3 linked regions of the Chlamydomonas reinhardtii genome follow. The protein of the gene in region 3 binds, or shares a complex with, the protein of the main gene of each other region. Links are inferred from orthologs where the notes say so. Each region holds a gene or a part of one and is shown on either strand. Other genes may lie near its edges.

Region 1 (4,104 bases), on a different chromosome or scaffold from region 3:
GCCGCCATGCCGCCGCCGCCGCCGCCCTCGCCGGCACTGCCACCGCTGCCGCGTTGCAGTTGGAAAAGGCTGGGGCCGGCGCCAGCTCCGTCTGCCGCGCCCGTGCTAGCCCCAAGCCCTATCATACCGCTGCCGCTTGTCCCGCTTGCTCCGCTGCCAACACCATGCAGCATGGATTCGCCTCGTCCCAGCTTGGTCATAATGCGTCTGCGCGGACATCCCCGCCCAGCAGGAAGCGGGTAAGTTTACGTATTGAAATCGGCAAAGTCTTAAGGCAGAGGCGCGGATTGATCAGTGTTGGTGCGGTTTAAAGGCCTACTAAGTTTTGACTTCCTTTATCTACGATGTCTGCAAGAGCTGCTGCTGACTGTTTGCCATTTCCCCCGCAGCAGTGTGGGCGCAAACCGACCTGCGTGCCCGTGTGCGTGCCCGGCTCACCTCATGCTGCCGCGCTTAATCCAGGCTCCGCCGCTGCCCTGAGCCTGCTCCTCTGCGTCCGAAGCTTCATGGCTGAAGCTGTGGGACAGGACGCCGGGCGAAGGCAGGGGGGGGCCAGAAGTGGAGGCACCGGCATGTCTCCAACCGACATGTCGCCGCAGTCAGCGCGTTCCCGCGTGACGTGCAGTGTGTACCACACGGCAGCACCATGCACCAGCCCCAGCCCGCACCTTGCACGCGCGATGGTTTGGCCAGTCTCTGGCTGGTAGAACTCGAGGTCCCTGCATCAGTCAGGAGTGTGGCGTTCATCGGCCCACCTTCCAAAGCGTAGCGCAATTGTCCATGATGCTCGTCTGTTTCTAGTTTATGCCTTGACACCAAAGCTCAAAGCCAGCATCAATGCCATTGCGTGCAGCGTTGCCGAGAACGGAAGGGCCGGGTCAAAATGGCTTTGTTGTTGCTGCTTACTCTTCAGTCTGCAATTCCTCCTCCCTTGTCTTGCGAAATGTCTTAAACATTCTTTCTGGTGAGAGCGGCCTTTACGCCGTCCAAGGGTCAATGCTCAAACGCGCAAGAGCGCCTTACGCGCTGCCTTGCTACTCCATTTGTAAGTAAAGTGTCAAGGTGTAAGAATTTGCTAGGTCAAAGAGAAGTTACTTGGCAGACTTGCACCAAAACGGGCGAGCCTGTAAGACCCATCTGCTCGCGAAAACGCTGGTAATAGAAAGTCTTCACATGTCGACTGTGGAACCGGCAGTGGCAGCGCATGCTCAGCCGCGAGAACCTCGAGCATGCCCCATGCAGCTTCTGCTTCCATTACTGCAGTTGCCGAACAAATAGTCCGAGGACATATATAAGCGTTATATAATACAACGTTTCCAGCAACACACAAGACATTTGGGCCAGCTTCAAGCAAAATGACGTCCCTACACGCACTGTCCCCTGCCAGCAACATTCAAGCTTCGCGTTGTGTGCGCCGCGCACTCCCAGGCCAAGCTAGGTATGCATCTGTACTAGCCACACCCCGTCTACCCGGTCGCCGCACCGCGCCGAGCAGCACGCAGAACGATGGGCCAAGCCCCTCCGCCAGGCCGGTGGTGCTGGCGCGCTCTCTCTTCGACAACCGGGGGAAAGACGACTTTGGTGACCGCATCCTTGCGTCGATACCCTTTCTACTGCCGCTGCTGGATGGCCTGCCTTATGGTGAGCTGGCCCGCTTTGGCCAACAAATTACGTGTGGTCTTTCTTATAGCCACATGTTGTGGACGTCGTGAAGGCGCTGCTGAAACGAGCACGGGGATATGCGAGGCGGAGGTCGATGGTCGCGAGCGCGCGTAGCCTCACGCCCCGCTGGCACCGTACCACCGCTCGCGCTCTCTTAGCGCAGCGCCGTGTCGCGTCCAGAGGCTCACACACGGCTGTTTGCCACCTCAAATCAATTGCGGGACGAGTAGCGGCTGCGTTCGCAGCTCGCGCGCAGTTGGTGCGTCGAGGGTGTTGCAGCGCGACTACGCTGTCAGCTGGGGTCCACTTTTCTCCCTCCACAGGCTCCATTAGCTGCGTGCAGCTCGCCAACCCCGCCAGCGCACGCCTCCCCCCTCCCAGCCCTCTTCAGCCAAGTCTGCTGCAACAATACCTTCTACAAACATTCCCCAGCTCTCAGCCAATCCAGTCAAGCCAAGCCCAAATGCCCGGTGCTCCATTCCCTCTCACACGCACGCGCATCACCACACGCACTCCAACCCTCAACACCTACCCACAACCGCCAACTCCCCCTCAATCCCCTCCCCCACCCCCCGGACGATTCTTGACTATTGGCCCTCTTTCCTTGGGCTCGGGCAAATAACCCCCACTCCGTTCTGCACATGAACGGCTGCCCCCCCCCCCCGCCCCCTTGCAGCCAAGTTCATAATGATCCAGTACCCCTTCGTGGCCCGTGCCTTCGCGCCCGTGGCCCCCCTGATGTACATCTACCACGCATTCCCCTTCGCGCCGTGAGTGTCCGAGAGGGTGTGTCTGTGTGCGTGTGTGTGCGTGTGTCATGAAGTGTGGATGTGTCGGGAGGGTGTGGGTGTCAAGAAAGTGTGGATGTGTCGAGAGGGTGCGGGTGTGAACAGAGGGTGTGGTTACGTGTTTCTTCAATGGGTTGCACGCCCTCCCTCCCAAAGCCCCCCCTCCTCCCCAACCCACCCAACCCAACCCCCCAACCCAACCCACTCAACCCAACCTACACACCCATTTCCCCCCCACCCAACACCCATCTCGCCCCACCCACAGGTTCCTGGTGTTCCTGGCCATCTACGCCGGCATTGTGAACAACCAGGGCCTGCCGCGCTTCGTGCGCTACCACGCCATGCAGGCGGTGCTGCTGGACGTGCTGCTCATGTGAGCGGGGGGACAGGGGGAGGAGGGGAGGGAGGGGGAAAGGGGGGGGGAGGGGAGGGAGTGTGGGTGAGGGGAAAGGGGGGCACGGGAGGGGGGGGGTTATTTGCACCATTCCCAGCAATAAACCAGTGACACGGAGACGCTTGACAGGGGATGGGATGGGAGGGGACGGGAGGGGCCCCAACAGCACGTGTGCGTGTGCGTGTGCGAGCGTGTGTGCGGGCGCCGCTGCTAAGTCGAGGTACCAGGGGCAGCGCCGTGTGGGCACTTGCAGCGGGGCCTGCACGCGACCCCTACTGCCACACCGCTATGTGGCTCCCTTCCCTATCCGGTGCCCCTCCCCTTTTCAGTTCTTTGTCCTCAACCTCTCCCGTCCTCCTCCCCTCCTCCTCCTCCTCCTCCTCGTCCCTCCCCTCCCCCCCCCCCACAGTATCCCGCAGGTCATCCTCAACGACCTGTGGAAGGCGCCCACCGACCCCCTGGGACTGCAGGTGGGTGGGGGGAGTGGGTGAGGGGTATGTGCGTGAGCCCAACGGTGGGGTGGGGGTGGGTGGGGGGTGTAGATTGGGTGGGTGAGGGTGGGGGGAGTGTGTTCTTTTTGTCGGCTTAGGCGGTAGAACGTAGACAATCAACTCGCGGGGAGTGCAGGGAGAAGATCATTCCGTACGCTGCCTACCCCCAACCTACACCCGCACACCTATCCCTCCCTCCCCTTACACTCTCCCTCCCTGGATGGCTATCCCCCCTCCCCCCCCCTCTACCCGCCCAGGCCTACATCACCGCCTACAACACGCTGTTCCTGTTCACGTCGGTCTGCGCCGCATACGGCATTGTAGGTCGGGGTAGGGAGGAAAGGGAGGAGAGATTGGGGGAGGGGGTCGGAAGGGGGGAGCGAGGCAAGGCCCGGGGCAATTTGGGGGGGGGGGTGGGAGCTAGTTTATTCCAATTCCAAAGAAACCAAGACCCAGAACCATGGGGGGCTGTGATGAGTTGGGGCTGTTGGGGCGGGGGGGGGCTGAGATGCCCGTGCCTAACCAAACAGGTTTCCGTCGCCCAACCAAGGAATACAGTGCCAGAGGGGGGGGCCAGGGGGCGATGGGTTCGCGGTGGGGGCAGAGGGCAAGGGCACACCGGGTTTTGTGCTGCAGCGTTTCCCTGTTGCCCGCGTGGCCATCACTAGCAGCATCAGTGGCGTTACTACCAACGATGAACGGCAATATCCCTCAAGTGCTTCAAGAGGGGACATTCCAAAGCACGCTAGGACAATTTTATGCTGCCAGG
Region 2 (3,449 bases), on a different chromosome or scaffold from region 3:
ACAGGCTCCGTATCTACCGTATGTACATGGCTCCACCGTGAGACGACTTGCGATTAAGCGTATCCTCTCAGGGCAGTTGGAAGCGCTGGGGCTGCTATCCTGCATACTACTGGTCCTCCTGGTTCATGTATGAGCTCTCCAGCGCCTCCTTCTTGCTTTGTAGCGCACCCTGGAATAGGACGTCCAAATGCGAGTATGCCTCCTGCAGCGGGTTGGCGTCGTCGGCAGCGTTGGTGCTTGCAGCAGGCTAGCGTGCATCGTTCCAACTACGGGTACCTGCCCTGAGCACGACAGTGCGCCGCCGCAGAAGTCACATAAGCGATATGTTTCGCACGTGTGCTGTTCGGTGATACCAGACTTACTTGCACGCCGGCAGCGGGGTTGGCAGGGTTGATGGCCACGTAAGACTGCGACAACTTTTTCAACCCGCCCTGAAGGCCTGCACACGTACAGGGTGAACACATCGCTACGCTTTAGCACGTTAAAACTATGGCAAGCAGCACGCACGTTCACTGGACAGGCTGCTAGCCTGTGCATATGTGTGCGGCTACTGTCCCCCGCCAGCGGCGCACCTTGCCAGCCGCCCAGGCCGCCGCCCTCCTTCTGCACTTGAATGGCCATGACCATGCACTGGCGCGTGTATAGGTTGTTGGGCTCTGCAAAGTTCCGGTAGAAGGTCTCCAGGTCGCGCTCTTGCTCTGGCCGGTTGGGGTCAATGACCATCAGCAGGCCGTCCACCTCCTGCGGAACAGCACGCGGATGGCCGCATGCCTGAGACCTACTGTGCTTGGCAACCAACCCTGCCCATTCCAAGCCCAGCCCCCCTACCCCATGTCAGTGCTAGATCCAAACGTGCACCTTGCCGTCAGACCCGTGCACCGTTCCATCAAGCGCACCTTGGCGAGCACCGGCCAGTAGGACTGGTACTGCACGCTCCCCGACACGTCCCAGAACTGGACCTTGACGCGGTCAATGCCCAGCACGCGACTGATTTCTTGGATCCTGCAGGGATTCAGAAAGCATTACACACCGAGAGCAGCACCGGTCGCAGAGGGAGACGTTGGCAAACGACATTTGAGCACATGCGCGGCCCAGGACAAAGCGACACCACTGACCTGACTGCAGCCGTAGGCTGGTATGACATTTCTCCAAGGAGGATAGGCTGCTCCGCTAGCGCTCGGCACAGCAGCGTCTTCCCAGTCCTCTGAGGACCCACCACTGCTATCTTCAACCCGTGCTCTGCCATGTTTGTTGGATAATGGGAATTGAGTTACAGCTCTACGCCACAGTCGAAGCTGGAAGACCTATCTGAGAAAGAACAGCAATTGCAGTCCCATTGCATGGAAGTCTTTCGGCTGCAGTCCTGCCGTTCACTGACACTGGAAGTTAACCTTTTACCAAAGATTTACAACCCGAGTACACCGTAGCTCCCGAGCAGTAGCCATGCAGGCGCTCGCATCCCATCGCACCCTGGCGACGCCAGCGCGCCCTCGCGCTCTAGGCTGTGCGAGCCTGCCTTTTCGCCCCATCGGAGCTCAAGCCATGCGCCGCCCGGCTCGTGAGGGGGCCGTGACCGTGCACGCGCGCAGCGGCGGATACTCGGCGCCCGGCGGGGGCCGGGGCTACAGCTCCACGCCCGGCATCGTGGACCGCGTCCTGGCTGCGCTGCCCTACATCCTGCCGTACTTCGACGCAGTGCAGTATGGTCGCTACCTGTTCCACATGTACCCCGCGGCGAAGGCGTGCATAACGCCGTTCCTGCCCGCCATGAGCCTGTACCACTCCCTGCCTTTCGGCTCCTTCATCGTCTTCTTTGGCCTGTACCTGGGCGTGGTGAACAACCCCAGCCTCAGCCGATTCGTGCGCTTCAACGCCGTCCAGGCCATTCTGCTGGACATCATCCTTGTGCTGCCGCGCCTGCTGGAGACGGTCCTGACGCCGCCCACGTCCGGCTGGGGCGCGCAAGTGTACATTCAGTCGCAGAGCTTCATCTGGATTTTCATCACCATGTGGGTGGTGTTCGGCATCGTGTCCAGCATGCTGGGGCAATGGGCGCGCATCCCTTTTATCCACGAGGCGGCGGAGGCGCAGCTGCGGTAAAGCCGCAGGGATGGCTGTTACAATTCGGTGCGGGGCTGGGGGCCATTTGAAGGAAGCTGCGCTACGGTGCGGGCTGTCCGCAGCAGTTTGCGCAGGGTTGCGTGTTAGGCTCGCCCCGCATGCCGCATGATTGCAGTGAGGCGCCTTGCACGGCTGAAAAAAGCCTTGGTGCACTTTGGATGGAGAGTTGCGTGTTGTGCAACTGTGAGTGTAGGGGAGTTGCGGGCGTCGTGTACGATGCAAGCTGAGACGCTACTGACGCTGAACCAGTTCTAATGCGCATTTGCATGCTGTGTTGATAACGGAGGAGGCCGTTGGTTTGCTGGGGGCAGGTTCATGAGTTGATCACTGCGACATACAGAGTGTGCTTTGATCGCGGTACTTGCGCTTTGAAGTGGAGGCTGTGGAGCACTTAAAATAACAGAGTGAACATCCGGATGCGGGGACACGTGTGCTCTGGTTTTCCGGGGTCGTTGCCCACCTTCCAGTATGTGCCCAGGCGTCACCAGGCAAGCAGCAGTGGTGATGCGTGTACGTTGCACGTGCGGCGTGCGGCGCGGCAATCCTCGCAACTACCAACACTTTAACTGACACACGGGGATCACAAACGGGCTTTCGCGCAACTGCCAACGAACAGGGGGGCGCGTGGCGTGGTGGTTGGCGCGCGGCGCGATTGGGAACGCATAGTTGGACAGCGAGGCGTGTGGGAAGCTGCGACAGAGCACGGCGGGGGCATGGCGGAGGCTGACGGTTGGCGCGCCGCGTGAGTGGGAGTGCATAGTCGTGCGCGCGCTGTTTGGGAAGCCGCGTGTGTGAGCTGCGTGTAAACTCAGAGAAACCTCCCCGCTACGCAGCGCGATGGCTCGCCCCATGAGAGGCAGGGCACGCTCGGCGGAAATTTGAACGGGCGCTGAGGGCTGCGTAAAGTCCACCCGATACCTCCGCAGCCCGCTCCTCTCAATCACGACGTTCCCGCCTGACACACAGACACTTCTCCCACTCCTCCCACTACTTTCCCCGCCCAACCAAGTTCTCCGACCCTCCACATCCTTACCGATTTCCCCTGTTTCGCCTATCCCTCCCTCTTCAGTCGCGCGAACAGCAAGTCCAATCACTCCCTCCTCCGGTCCGCACTGGCTCATCTGTCTTTTCAGGCGCCCCCGTCAATTACCGTGACAGCCCCACAGATCTCGCACAAACTGTCCTCTCCCACCCACCCAGAACGCGCACAGCCCCCCCGACGTTCAAAACAACAAGGAGGTGGCTGCCTTAGGGAGGCAGGAAAAGGGCTGAGCCCTCCCCTCCCGGGTCGTTATCAACCCAGCCACCTTGACGCGGGCGCCTACTAA
Region 3 (3,975 bases):
CATGCATACACACTCATATCCGTATGCCGCCGCATTGTTGCACCGCATACACAGTGTCTGCGCTTACTTCTCCTTGTGCTCTTCAACACACACACACACACACACACACACACACACACACACACACACACACACACACACACACACACACACACACACACACACACACACACACACACAGCCACGCACCTGGCTGGCGAACATCTGCTCCATCTGCTTCTTGACCTCGGGGTTGGACAGCATCCACTCGATGGACTGCGGGTTGCGCATGGGCTCCGGCAGGTAGGGGTACAGCATCTTCTGCATCTCCGGGTTGCGCAGCATGCTCTCCATCATGTCCGTCATCACGCCCGTGTCCTGAGGCGCTGCTCCTGTGGGACCGGCAGCGACGGGGGCAGCGGGCGAGGTGGGAAAGGAGTCCGGAGGAGTGAGGGCCAGGGGCAGGTTCGGGCACAGCTTGGAGGGTGGCTGAGTGCAGGAGTGGCCCGCAGAATACCGTGGGGCCTGGCCGAGCATGCCGCTGAAGGCTTTGATGTTCGGCATCGGTGGAAGACAGAAAGTTGTGGCTCGGTCGCAAGCGGAACCCTTAACCCTCGGTTGGGTGCCCACGCACGGAGCCATGAGGTACCAGCAGCGCGTTGCCCGGCACGCGCAAGCACCCTGACTGCCCACTCGCAGGACCCAAGCCCTGGTTACCCTGGTGCCCCTCCATTGATTCATTTGCCAACCCTACCTGCTGCACCCCGCCGCCGCCTGCCTCACAACCCGCTAACACCGCACATGCCTCTCGCCCGGCCGCCGCTCACTCCCCTCCTCTTTACATCCCGCACCTCCCTCTCGTGCCCCCTTCTCTCCTCTCCACCACCCGCACTCCTAAGCCCCGCCTCAGCCCTACCTCTCCCTCGCTCTCCCCACCCATCGTCTCACCTGACCCGCTGCTGCTGCTGGTGCCCCCGGCCCGGCTGCTGGCCTCGGCGTCCACGTCCGCAAAGAACGACGAGCGGCCGCTGCTGCTGGCGCCCGAGCTGCTGCCGCTGCTGGAGGGCTCCTTCACCACCGGCTCCTGTGCGTAAATGAAGGGGGCAGGAGGAGCGCTGGGCGTTTACGGGGTGAGGGATTGCGGCGCAAATGGAGCAGGAGAGCAACCGAAGAACAGAGAGGGGAGAGCAAGGGGGTGCGGGGTGCTGCAGGATACTGTCACTGGAATATCTTCACAGCCGCGTCAGCAGGCAAGGCAACGCACTACCGTTGTGCCGCCCAGCCCTCCACTTTGATTCAATATTTTGCTGACTTAATATCGCCCATGCGCAAGGGGAGCCCCGTCATGTGTTCACCCCCGACATCGCCCTGCCTTTAGAAAGCTGGTAGAACTAGCTGCCTCGATCCGCCCCTCGCCCTTTTGCAGCCTAGGCCATCATCCCAACCGCATTATGTCCCTGCCGAAACTCACCACGACATCAAGCGGCTTGGTGGCGCTGGACGCCGCCGCGGCGGCGCCAGCCGCTGCTGCCGCAGGCGCCGGCTCCGGCTTGCGGGGCTCGCGGCCCTCGCTGTTGAGGCGCGATGCGAACTTCTCGCCCTTGCGCTCACTGCTGCTGGCACCGCTGCTGCTGGCGCCCGCGAAGGCAGGAGAGGCGGTGGTGTCCACGGTGGAGGGACCCGCCGCCGCAGCAGCCGCGAAGTTGGCGAAGGGGTTGGCGCCCGGGGCGGCGCCGGCGAAGGGGTTGGCGCCGGGCGCGGCGCCGCCAAAGGGGCTGCCGGGGCCGCCGAACGGAGGCATTCTGTGCACGTGTGTACAGGTGTTGAGCGGGCCGTGATGGGTGACAGAAGGCAGTGTGCAGTTGGGTGGGCACGCGCCTGTGCCCCAGCTCTCCCGCAAACATGGTACTCACGTGTGCTGTGCGCGACTATCTTCTTCATGCTCGCAACCCCCACCCATCCCCCACCCCCACGTTCCGTCCGCCGCCCAACTCACCCCGCCCCTCCAGGCGGCGAGCCCATAGCGCCAGACATCTGCTTCATGGCCATCTCCATCATTATCTGCTGCGGCGTCTTTGGGTTCTTCATATACTCCTGGACCTGCGCGGCCAGGCATTGCCCGTTGGCAAGAGAAAGATACTTGCCAAGTGCAAGTCACCGTACCTTAGCAAGGACCTGACCCAGAATCACACCCGCGCCGAGCCAAATCCACCAAGGAGCGCCAGTCGAGGCAGGCTCCTCCTTGTAGGGAGCCGGAGGAGGAGGATAGTAGGCGGCAGCGGGGGCCGCCATGTAGTATTGCTGGCGTGCAGCAGCGTCCGCGGGCATACCCTGCGGAGTGTGCGCGAATTAGAACCATCGTCGACTGCCCGGAGCCGAGCCTCCAAATCGCAGTGGCTAGCCTCGCGACCGGCTTGTCGCTCCACATCAGCTTTTATTTACACGTACCGGGTAGTAGGGCGCCGGAGGCGGCATCGGATACGTCGCGGTCGTCTCCTGGGGCAGCGGCGCACCCGCGACCGGCACAGGCACGGGCGCTGCGACCGCTTCAACGGGCGCACTCACCACCTGCTGCTGATCAGAGCCTGCATGCAATGGGAACGCTGCCGATTAGCGCGCGTCGGGGCCAACCTGCACGCGCATTTTATGTGCAAAGCCCTGCTCCGGAGCCCCAATACCCCAGCGTGCTTGCCTTGCACAGCCCGGCATTTGATGGAAGCGCGGGAGGGCAGAGCAAGGGCTGCCTTCCCGAATCCCCGAGGGGCGGTTGTGCGGGAACACAACATTCTTACGATTGTAGCTGACCTCTAAGTATCAACTAACTAGAGAGGGGAGAAGAAATTAGTGCCAGGGAATTCCTGTGGGGGGCTGGGACAAAGCACTCAGCCTGCATGCAGCTCTGAGTTTGGGAAATTCCTGGCTTTTTAGGCGCCGCTTTCCAGGCTGATTCAATTGCACGCTTAGTTTCATTTGTAACGCTTAGCAAAAAAACAAAGCGACCGGTTTGGACACAAACTTCTGGAACTCCCTGAACGACGTACTTCACCTGCACGCCAGGGCTTGTTTACATTATTTCCAGGAACTGCACAGACGCGGAGCCTCACAGGCGGGCTATGGTCTCCCGGACTTGACGTCGTCGTGCACCGTCTGCTGAGCCGGGACACAAAGTTCGGTCAAACATTTCAGTGGCACACATTTAGCTGCGCTCTGCGCTGTAAGGAGCCCGGAGCATGGCGGAGACGCAGGAGGAGCAGCCCCCGGTCGTCCACGCGGACGGTAGGTCAATCCGAGATGCAAGGCCCGGAACATGAAGTCTCTACAAGCATACGAGTCATCCGGGGGCTGCGGCGGTCATGGGCGCGGTCGCGGCGTGTGGAAGCGAAAGTAGTCAATCTAACACCAAGGCGAAGACCGTTGCCGCGGCGGTTGTCCTGAGCCCAAGCTCCTCAGCTGTGCTCTGGACGAATCCATGGCATCCTATTCCGGCGTGCTGGGTGCACGAACTCGTGCTCATGCTCACGATTACCGGCGACCAGCCTGGCGCTGGCGCAGAAGCCGCAGGCAGCCGGGCGGCGTTAAGATGCAATAATGATAGTGTTCGTCAACACGATTTCGGCTTCCAAACTGGATAGTACGGCCTCGACCGATAACCTTGGTCGCCGCCCCCTCCCTCCCTGCGACCACCTCGTGCGCCCAAAAAGCAGGGGCCGCCGGGGACACCGACTTGCCGCTGCGGACCCTGAGCGAGTTCACCATCATCAACACGGCTGCTGGGAATGCGCCCGTTAGCTTGGACGCTCTCACAACGCTACCGCCTGGAAGCGTGATAGCGGTGGGGAACTGCCCTCCGGTTGACGCTCCACCAGGTGCGACCCGCAGAAGCCCACGTCTCTCACCATTCCTCCTTGAGCCAGGGCAGGCACACACTTACGCCAAACCCCAACCATGTATATGTACAGATGCGACGACGATTGTCACGGTTCAAACGCAACCAAT

Evidence for each region.
Region 1: CHLRE_12g508000v5 (region 3) and CHLRE_04g225050v5 share a complex: the UniProt entries of both Arabidopsis thaliana proteins name them as parts of the tic complex. The link is inferred for Chlamydomonas reinhardtii from reciprocal best matches to the Arabidopsis thaliana genes TIC40 and Tic20-V.
Region 2: CHLRE_12g508000v5 (region 3) and CHLRE_01g039150v5 share a complex: the UniProt entries of both Arabidopsis thaliana proteins name them as parts of the tic complex. The link is inferred for Chlamydomonas reinhardtii from reciprocal best matches to the Arabidopsis thaliana genes TIC40 and Tic20-II.

Annotation. Positions count from the first base shown.
Region 1 is NC_057007.1:3,016,704-3,020,807, forward strand, and holds the start of CHLRE_04g225050v5 (uncharacterized protein), read left to right. Parts: upstream 1-1,302; 5' UTR 1,303-1,355; coding exon 1,356-1,641; intron 1,642-2,338; coding exon 2,339-2,432; intron 2,433-2,715; coding exon 2,716-2,823; intron 2,824-3,253; coding exon 3,254-3,314; intron 3,315-3,592; coding exon 3,593-3,655; intron 3,656-4,104. Other genes in the region: CHLRE_04g225000v5 (uncharacterized protein), read right to left, coding at 1-207, 439-516, 669-719, 907-956. UniProt on the Arabidopsis thaliana protein: May be involved in protein precursor import into chloroplasts. Not redundant with TIC20-I, TIC20-II or TIC20-IV.
Region 2 is NC_057004.1:5,530,207-5,533,655, reverse strand, and holds CHLRE_01g039150v5 (uncharacterized protein), read left to right. Parts: upstream 1-1,408; 5' UTR 1,409-1,542; coding exon 1,543-2,100; 3' UTR 2,101-2,939; downstream 2,940-3,449. Other genes in the region: CHLRE_01g039200v5 (uncharacterized protein), read right to left, coding at 107-202, 363-439, 573-741, 897-1,002, 1,116-1,246. UniProt on the Arabidopsis thaliana protein: May be involved in protein precursor import into chloroplasts. Not redundant with TIC20-I, TIC20-IV or TIC20-V.
Region 3 is NC_057015.1:2,247,410-2,251,384, reverse strand, and holds the start of CHLRE_12g508000v5 (uncharacterized protein), read right to left. Parts: upstream 2,803-3,975; 5' UTR 2,672-2,802; intron 2,565-2,671; 5' UTR 2,455-2,564; coding exon 2,428-2,454; intron 2,311-2,427; coding exon 2,143-2,310; intron 2,080-2,142; coding exon 1,976-2,079; intron 1,782-1,975; coding exon 1,451-1,781; intron 1,064-1,450; coding exon 928-1,063; intron 372-927; coding exon 190-371; intron 1-189. Other genes in the region: CHLRE_12g508050v5 (uncharacterized protein), read left to right, coding at 3,210-3,255, 3,684-3,845, 3,939-3,975. UniProt on the Arabidopsis thaliana protein: Involved in protein precursor import into chloroplasts. Part of the motor complex consisting of a co-chaperone (TIC40) and a chaperone (HSP93) associated with the import channel (TIC110).